2 linked regions of the Sus scrofa genome follow. The protein of the gene in region 2 purifies or fractionates together with the protein of the main gene of each other region. This does not show direct contact. Links are inferred from orthologs where the notes say so. Each region holds a gene or a part of one and is shown on either strand. Other genes may lie near its edges.

Region 1 (3,746 bases), on a different chromosome or scaffold from region 2:
TTACATTTTTCAATGATTCAAAACAAACAAACAAACAAACAAAAAACCAAGAAGGGAGTCCCCCTGTGGCTCAATGCTGACAAAACTGACTAGCATCCATGTGGATGTGGGTTCAATCCCTGACTCTGCTCAGTGGATTAAGGGATCCGGAGTTGCTGTAAGCTGTGATGTAGGTCACAGACACAGCTCAGATCTGGCATTGCTGGGGCTATGGCATAGGCGGGCAGCTGAAGCTCCAATTCACCCCCTAGTCTGGGAGCTTCCAGATGCTGCAGGTGTGGCTCTAAAAAGCAGGAAAAAAAAAAATTTAATTAAAAAGAAAATGTCTGTGTCCATAAGTAAAGCTTTATTTGGAATACACTCAGGCTCGCTGCTTTACATACTATCTATAGCTACTTCTGCACTACAATGGCAGAGGTGAACCTGCAAAGCCTAAAATATTGACTATCTGGCCCTTTTTAGGAAACTTTGCCAATCTCTGGTCAAATACTTCATCCCCACTGCCACCCTACACTGGTTCGGGACAGTAAGAGTCTGAGCACTGGCTAGGACACTGATTCTGAGCAGGGATTTCCTGGGAAGTGACACCCAGGCCCCTTCCTAAATGTGCTTTACCCAGAGGATGGTTGATGAGGGAGGGCACAGTGGTGGCTGTGAGGGTCAGCTCCTTCTCTTCACTGCCTTCCACCGGACCCAGCAGGAAGCGAACACGCTGTTCAGGAGCAGGAGGCTTCCCAGCATTGAGACCTGAGCACACACATGTAAATAGCATCTCATCAATTCCGTGTGGACACCCAGGGGTGGGCGGGACAGGAAAACACGGGGATGCATAAGACAGTTCCAAGTCCACGGGTGCAGAGATCAGTAGCAATTAGGAACAAGAATTGGAGTCAAATATTGACTCTACTACTTATGACAACTAAAAATAGAGTCTGTTTACCCATCTGAACACCGGGGAAAGAGAGGAACAACAAACAGAGTGCATACGACAGACGATCAGGAAAAGGCAGCCGCCCAGGCGACGAGGTCACATGACTGACTTTACCCGCAAGGATCAGAAGCGGAAATAGACTCCGAGGGAAATGGGAAGGGGATCGTTAAGACTGGCTCGATGCACTCACCTTTCAAAAGCTGCAGCTCCACCGTATCCCGTAGATGCTTCCATTTTAGCCCCGGGGGCTTGTAGGCGGCAAAGAGCCCATGCAGCCGCGCCAGGCCGGCTGACCCCATCCCGGAGCCCGCGTCTGGGGCTCGCAGGACAGCGGCACCCGGCGGAAATGCCATATGGTCCCTCCCCAAATAGAGTCCTTCCAGAGGACGCTGCCATGTTTCGCAGCCGGAAGAGGTTCTCGTCTTTCTGTCCTCGGGGAAAACGTGCTGCGGTGAACAAAGTACGGTCCGACACTGAACCCCAAAGCCAGGCGGGCTTCCTTAGAGACACTTTGGGGGGCAAGGTGAAATGGGGAGAATTTTATATCCTTGGAATTAGATTGCCTGGGTTTCTTCATACTTAGAGATAGAGACCTTTCCTGTCCGTGCTCTTTCCCCCCTCCCGCAAAAAAAAACCCTACTCCGCGCCGTAGGAATCGAGCCCTTTTGACTTCTCCGGCGCGCCGTCGTCGGGGAAGTCTGGGGCATTGGCCTTGCCCTTCCCATCCTCCCGCGGACGTCCGACTGTACCCGCTGCCATGGCGACGCTGCTGCGCGGGGCCCTGCGCCCCCTCCGCGCCTTCCAAGGCCGCGGGCAGCCGGCTGCAGGCAAGTGGCGGGGGCTGGTCGGCGTGCTGGCGTCCCCCGGCTCTTTTGACCGCGCGGCCTTTTTCTTGCCTCGCAGATGTGCCCCTTCGTGCCACGAGCCATGGCACCGGCCTCCTCTACCCCGAACACATCCCCACTTCCCTGCTGCAGAAGGCGCTGTTGGCCGCGGGCTCTGCCGTAATGGCCCTCTACGACCCTTATCGCCACGGTAAGGCTGCCCGCGCCTGGCGTTCTCTTGGGAGGGCGGGGGAGGGGGGAGGCTCACCCTTGCCTTGGAAGTCCCGGGGAGGTCCCTGCCACTGTCAAAACCTCCGTTTCCTTTGGGTAACTGGAAACAAGACAAGGCCAGGGTACCCAGACCAAGCTGCACCTCACAGTCACTTGCAGTATTCATAAAATGCGGATGCCTGGATCCCACCCTAAAACTTACTCAATTCGAATCTTGTGGGAGTGGGGAAGGGAGGCAGGAAGGGGCGTGGAATCTGAGCCTCTGCCTTTTTAAACTGCTTCCCGGGAGATTCTGTCATCCAGCCACACTGAGGATCTCTGGGCTAGATGATTTATGCCCGTAAAAGTATAACGTCCCTTTAGAAATTAAACTTTATGAGGTCGGGAACCATAACTACCCTGCTCCACTGGAGTGGTAGCATTTTGGATAGGGCACGGGACATAATAAATGCTCCGTAAGTGCTTGCTAGACATTTGACTAGAACATTCTTGGATCCTACACTGCCTTTCTCATCCCCTCCAGGATTTCTAAGTCTGGAAAATTCTGTTACTCCTGCTAGTAAAAACAATAATGCTGGGAGTTCCCGTTGTGTCTCAGCGGTTAACGGCGGTAACGAATCTGACTAGGATCCATGAGGACGCAGGTTCGATCCCTGACCTTGCTCAGTGGGTTAAGGATCCCGCATTGCTGTGAGCTGTGGTGTAGGCCAGCAGCTGTGGCTCCAATTCAGCCCCTAGCCTGGGACCCTCCATATGCTGTGGGTATGGCCCTAAAAAAAAAAAAAAAAAAAAAAAAAAAATGGTAATTGCTCATTAAGCCCTTATTTTGGTTGCTCATTGCTCAGTGTTTTATATACGTGATGTTCTTGATTTTTCATATTGACCCTATAAGAAAGATGTTATCTGCACTTCCAAGTTAGGACACTGAGGGTCAAAAATGTGAAGCAGTTTGCACAAGGTCCTCTAGACAGTGATTGTAGCTGGGGTCGAACCTAGCACTCTGTGATACCAAAGTCGGCCCCTGTCCGTGGAGACATGATATTCTGTTGTAATGATGGATGTGAAAGTGATTCATAAATTTGTCAGAGCACTGTGCTCACCAGAGCCACCTCCCCCATCAGATGAATAACAGTCATAACTATATTGAGCTTTTACTGTGTGCCCAGCGCTTCACTACATGTTTAACTTGAATCTTTATAACTTAGAGGTAGATATTCTGTTTGCTCATGTAGGAAATTGAGGCTCAGACCAGGTCAGGCGATCCACCGAAGATCACATCCTCCACGTGTCCCCATTTCTTTCCTTTCAGACATGGTTGCAGTTCTAGGAGAGACCACAGGACGCCGAACCCTGAAGTTCCTCAGGGACCAGATGAAGAGGGATCCAGAGGGTGCCCAGATCCTGCAGTAGGTCCCAGCTCTGCCTGGGGGATTGAGGGCATTCTTTGGCGCTTCCCGTCTGTCTGGACTTGCATTGTGTTCCTCTGGGGAGCTCTTCTTGATACCCTGGCCGTGAGTGGTGGCCGTGGGCACTGCCCGAATCCATAGGCACCACTCACATAGACACTGTGTTGACCCTTGGGTGATGCAATACGATGGCCTCAGCCTAGTTCCAGCAACAGGGCTCTTGTGCCTTCACGGAGGTCTGTTAACACATACTGCCCGCCATCCCCTCCCTCAGTGCCTTTTGTGAATACCCTGATCCCATCTGAGGCCTCTTTAGCTGCCTTGTGCCCCCCAGCAGGAACCATGGCCTTAGCT
Region 2 (3,746 bases):
ATTTGGGAATGACTGTCATGGATCATAATGGGCTGCAAGAGCACCTACAGGCCACGAAATTCAAACATTGCTTCTATTTTTTCCTTTTCCTTTTTTTTTTTTTTTGTCTTTTTGCTATTTCTTGGGCCGCTCCTGCAGCATATGGAGGTTCCCAGGCTAGGGGTCGAATCGGAGCTGCAGCCACCGGCCTACGCCAGAGCCACAGCAACTCGGGATCCGAGCCGAGTCTGCAACCTACACCACAGCTCACGGCAACGCCGGATCGTTAACCCACTGAGCAAGGCCAGGGATTGAACCTGCAATCTCATGGTTCCTAGTCGGATTCGTTAACCACTGCGCCACGACGGAAACTCCTCCTTTTTCTTTTTTAAGCTGCACCTGCAGCATAGGGAAGTTCCCAGGCTAGAGGTCGAATTGGAGCTGTAGCCACTGGCCTACACCACAGCCACAGCAACACCAGATCCAAGACACGTCTGTGACCTACACCGCAGCTGACGACAATGCTGGATCCTTTAACCCCACTAATCGAGGCCAGGGACAGCATCCGCATCCTCATGGACACTAGTCGGGTTCTTAACCCACTGAGCCACAATGGGAACTCCACAGCTCATTTATTTTTAAACTTCATTTCTTTTTTTTTAACCTCCTCATTTTAGAGATGAGATCCAGAGAAGGGAGACAACCTCCTAACATCAGGGAGCAGGTCAGTAGCAGAGCCAGCACAGGAACCCAGGTGCTCAGACTCCCAAATCGCTCATGAGGGCGTCCTCCGTTGCATGCTAAACTCTAGTACTAAACCGGTGAGGACAATCTGCCGTTATGAAACCTTGAAGAAGGTGCTCCAGCTGGATCCTTGAAGGTGAGTAGGAATTTGCTAGGCATCTGCGGTGAGAGGAGGGCAGTGGGGAGGGCATTCGAGGCACTGTGTGCAACGTGAGGAAACCTGAAAAATCCCTGGGGTTTAGAAATTACAAGCAGAGCCCCCTGAGTTGGTCCGAAGGTTGTGGGTTATTGTTAAGCTGTTTAACAGGCAGAGCCACCTGACTTAAGGGGAGTGACGGGCTGAGGGGCAGAGGTGATGCTGTGGAAAACAGCAGGGATTGCAGCACTGACCCAGCGGCGGGAGAGCGGGAACAGAGGCAACACGGCCAGGTAAGAAATGACGAGGGACCGTGGGTAGGGGGCGAGCACTACGCTGGAGTCGTACAGAGTAGGCAACCCCTTAAATTTTACTCCTGCCGACTGCCAAAAAAGCAAAATGAAAGTGCCCACCAGAGCCAGCAGCGTGCTCCGCAAACGTGCGCTGTGCGGCAAGGAGAGTGAGTTCAGGCCGGCTGCGGGCTGCTGCAGCACCGCGAAAAGTTGCAAACTAAGTGGGCAGGGCCGGGAAGGGTTCCCCAGGTCGACTCACTCAGGATCGGGGACTAACAGGCTCCGCCCAGCCCTCTCGCCTCCTTGAGCCATTGGCTACCCTCAGCGTCTTTGCCTTCACCCATTCGTAAACGTGACCCTGGGTTCTTCCGCCGGGGCTTGGGGTCAAGGGTCACCAATATGGCAGCGCCCAGGAGCGGCTGAAACGTGAAGCGGAGGATGGCGCTGGTGGCGCTGGCGGCGAGGGCTCGGCTGGGGAACTGGCTGAGCGGGCGGGGGCTGGGGCTGGGGCTGCGGCTGGGGCGCGGGCACTGGACGGCGGCCGGGCGCTCTCGGAGTCGGCGCGAGGCGGCCGAGGCCGAGGCGGAGGCGCCGGTGTTCCAGTACGTGGGCGAGCGTGCGGCCCGCGCCGACCGCATCTTCGTGTGGGGCTTCAGCTTCTCGGGGGCGCTGGGCGTGCCCACCTTCGTGCTGCCCAGCTCTGGGCCCCATCCTCACGCCGGCTTGCGGCCGCGCCGCAGGATCCAGTGTGTACCTTACCGCCTGGAGCTGGACCAAAAGGTGCGCTCTGCAGCTCCCTCCCTTCCTCCGTTTCCTCCTCGGGTCTCCGCCGCCGTCTCTCGAGGCACTTGGCGACGGGTGGACGGACTTCGGGGAGAAAGATCCTCGACCGGGCTGCGGGCGGGGGGAGGCCCTAGGGCGCTGCCAAGTTGAGGGAGTGGCGAAATGTCCTAGGTGTTTTGTCTCTCATTTGCGCATCACCCCAGGAGTCGGGTTTGTGGCACAGTTATGGGCGAGGAAAGGGAGGCTCAGAGAGGTTGAGAGGAAGGTCCGTGGCCCCGCAGCTGGTTGAAGTTTGTATACTAGGATTCGCCCTCGGGCCAGGCTCCAGCAGAAGTTCTGATTTTAGGAAAGACGATTTTATGAGGTCGGAGAAAACGTGGCTGGCTGGAGTCGATGAACTACTTGGAAAGGAAACTAGAGCGCTTACAGGAATGAGGGGAAGGATGAAGGCCCCTGAGTTTACTCAGTTTTGAAAAGGTGATGCAAAGAATCGTTGCGGGACGGGAGTTTGTCTCGGCAGCCAGCACCCATTAGTGCAAAAATGGATGCTTAGGATAGATTCTTGCCTCGGGTGGTTGTGGACATCTTGATGGGTGGTGAAAAAGAAGCAAATTTGATCGGTTTGGCTTCTGACTTCTCTTTCAAGGATATCCAGTGATTTTTTAATGAAAAGGGTAGATCGAGAAAAACAGGGAATTTAAGCTCCAGATGATTGAAAAGTTGTTTTGATTTCTTCATTTTGAGTTGTAAGAGTTATTTATGTATTCTGGATTAGGTACCTTGTCATATATATATATATATATATTATATATATATATATATATAAGGTGGAAATATTTTCTGCCAATCTATGGATTTTCTTTTTCATTTCTTAATACTGCCCTTGGGAGAGCATAAGCTTTTAATTTTAATGAAATTCAGTTAAGTTTTTCTACTGTGAATCGTATATTTGGTATATCTGAGAAATCTTTGCCTAATCTAAGATTACAAAGATAATTTTCCTAAGGTATTGTCTAGGAACGTCATAGTTTTCGTTCTTATATTTAGGTTAACAAGCTAGTCATTCGAGTTGACTTTTGGGTGCTGTGGAAGTGAGAGTAGAATGTGGCTAGTATTATCATTAGTTGAAATTATTTCCTTACTGAATTGTCTTGGCACCTTTGTGAAAATCAGTATGACTGTAAATGTAAGGATTTATTCTGGAACTCTCAATTCTGATCCATTGATCTATATGTTTCTCATTATGCTAAAAGTACACTCTTGATTACTGTAGCTTTATAACTAGTTTTGAAATTGCGAAAGGTAAATTTTGGCTCTTCTGGGTGTTTTGCTTTTCCATATAAATTTTAGGACTAGCTTGTTAATTTCTGCGACAGTACCTACTGAGATTTTGATAGCGATTACATTGAATCTATACGTTGATTTGGACACAAATGCCATCTAAGCAATTTTGTGTCTTCTAATCTATGAACATGTAATGTCTCCCCATTTAATTAGGTTTTTAAGGAGTTCCTGTTGTGGCTTAGTGGTTAACAAATCTGACTAGGAACCATGAGGTTGCAGGTTCCATCCCTGGCCTTGCTCAGTGGGTTGAAAATCTGGCGTTGCTGTGAGCTGTGAGCTGTGGTATAGCTCGCAGATGTGGCTTGGATCCGTGGCTGTGGCTGTGGTGTAGGCCGGCGGCTACAGCTCCGACTAGACCCCTAGCCTGGGAACCTCTATATGCCGTGGGTTTGGCCCTAGAAAAGACAAAAAAAAAAAAAAGACAATTAGGTCTTTAATTTCTCTCAACTATGTTTTTTGTAGTTTAC

Evidence for each region.
Region 1: the proteins of RCC1L (region 2) and TRUB2 purify together in Homo sapiens (affinity purification with mass spectrometry; 3 studies listed by BioGRID and IntAct, with this or other methods). This does not show direct contact. The link is inferred for Sus scrofa from reciprocal best matches to the Homo sapiens genes RCC1L and TRUB2.

What each region holds. Positions count from the first base shown.
Region 1 is NC_010443.5:268,755,285-268,759,030, forward strand, and holds the start of TRUB2 (probable tRNA pseudouridine synthase 2), read right to left. Parts: upstream 2,488-3,746; 5' UTR 2,153-2,487; coding exon 2,024-2,152; intron 1,967-2,023; coding exon of another isoform or gene 1,835-1,966; intron 1,759-1,834; coding exon of another isoform or gene 1,689-1,758; exon of another isoform or gene 1,378-1,688; coding exon 1,122-1,377; intron 1,052-1,121; exon of another isoform or gene 945-1,051; coding exon of another isoform or gene 941-944; intron 748-940; coding exon 616-747; intron 1-615. Other genes in the region: ubiquinone biosynthesis protein COQ4 homolog, mitochondrial, read left to right, coding at 1,689-1,758, 1,835-1,966, 3,296-3,392. UniProt on the Homo sapiens protein: Minor enzyme contributing to the isomerization of uridine to pseudouridine (pseudouridylation) of specific mitochondrial mRNAs (mt-mRNAs) such as COXI and COXIII mt-mRNAs.
Region 2 is NC_010445.4:11,914,010-11,917,755, forward strand, and holds the start of RCC1L (RCC1-like G exchanging factor-like protein), read left to right. Parts: upstream 1-1,530; 5' UTR 1,531-1,590; coding exon 1,591-1,932; intron 1,933-3,746. UniProt on the Homo sapiens protein: Guanine nucleotide exchange factor (GEF) for mitochondrial dynamin-related GTPase OPA1. Activates OPA1, by exchanging bound GDP for free GTP, and drives OPA1 and MFN1-dependent mitochondrial fusion. Plays an essential role in mitochondrial ribosome biogenesis.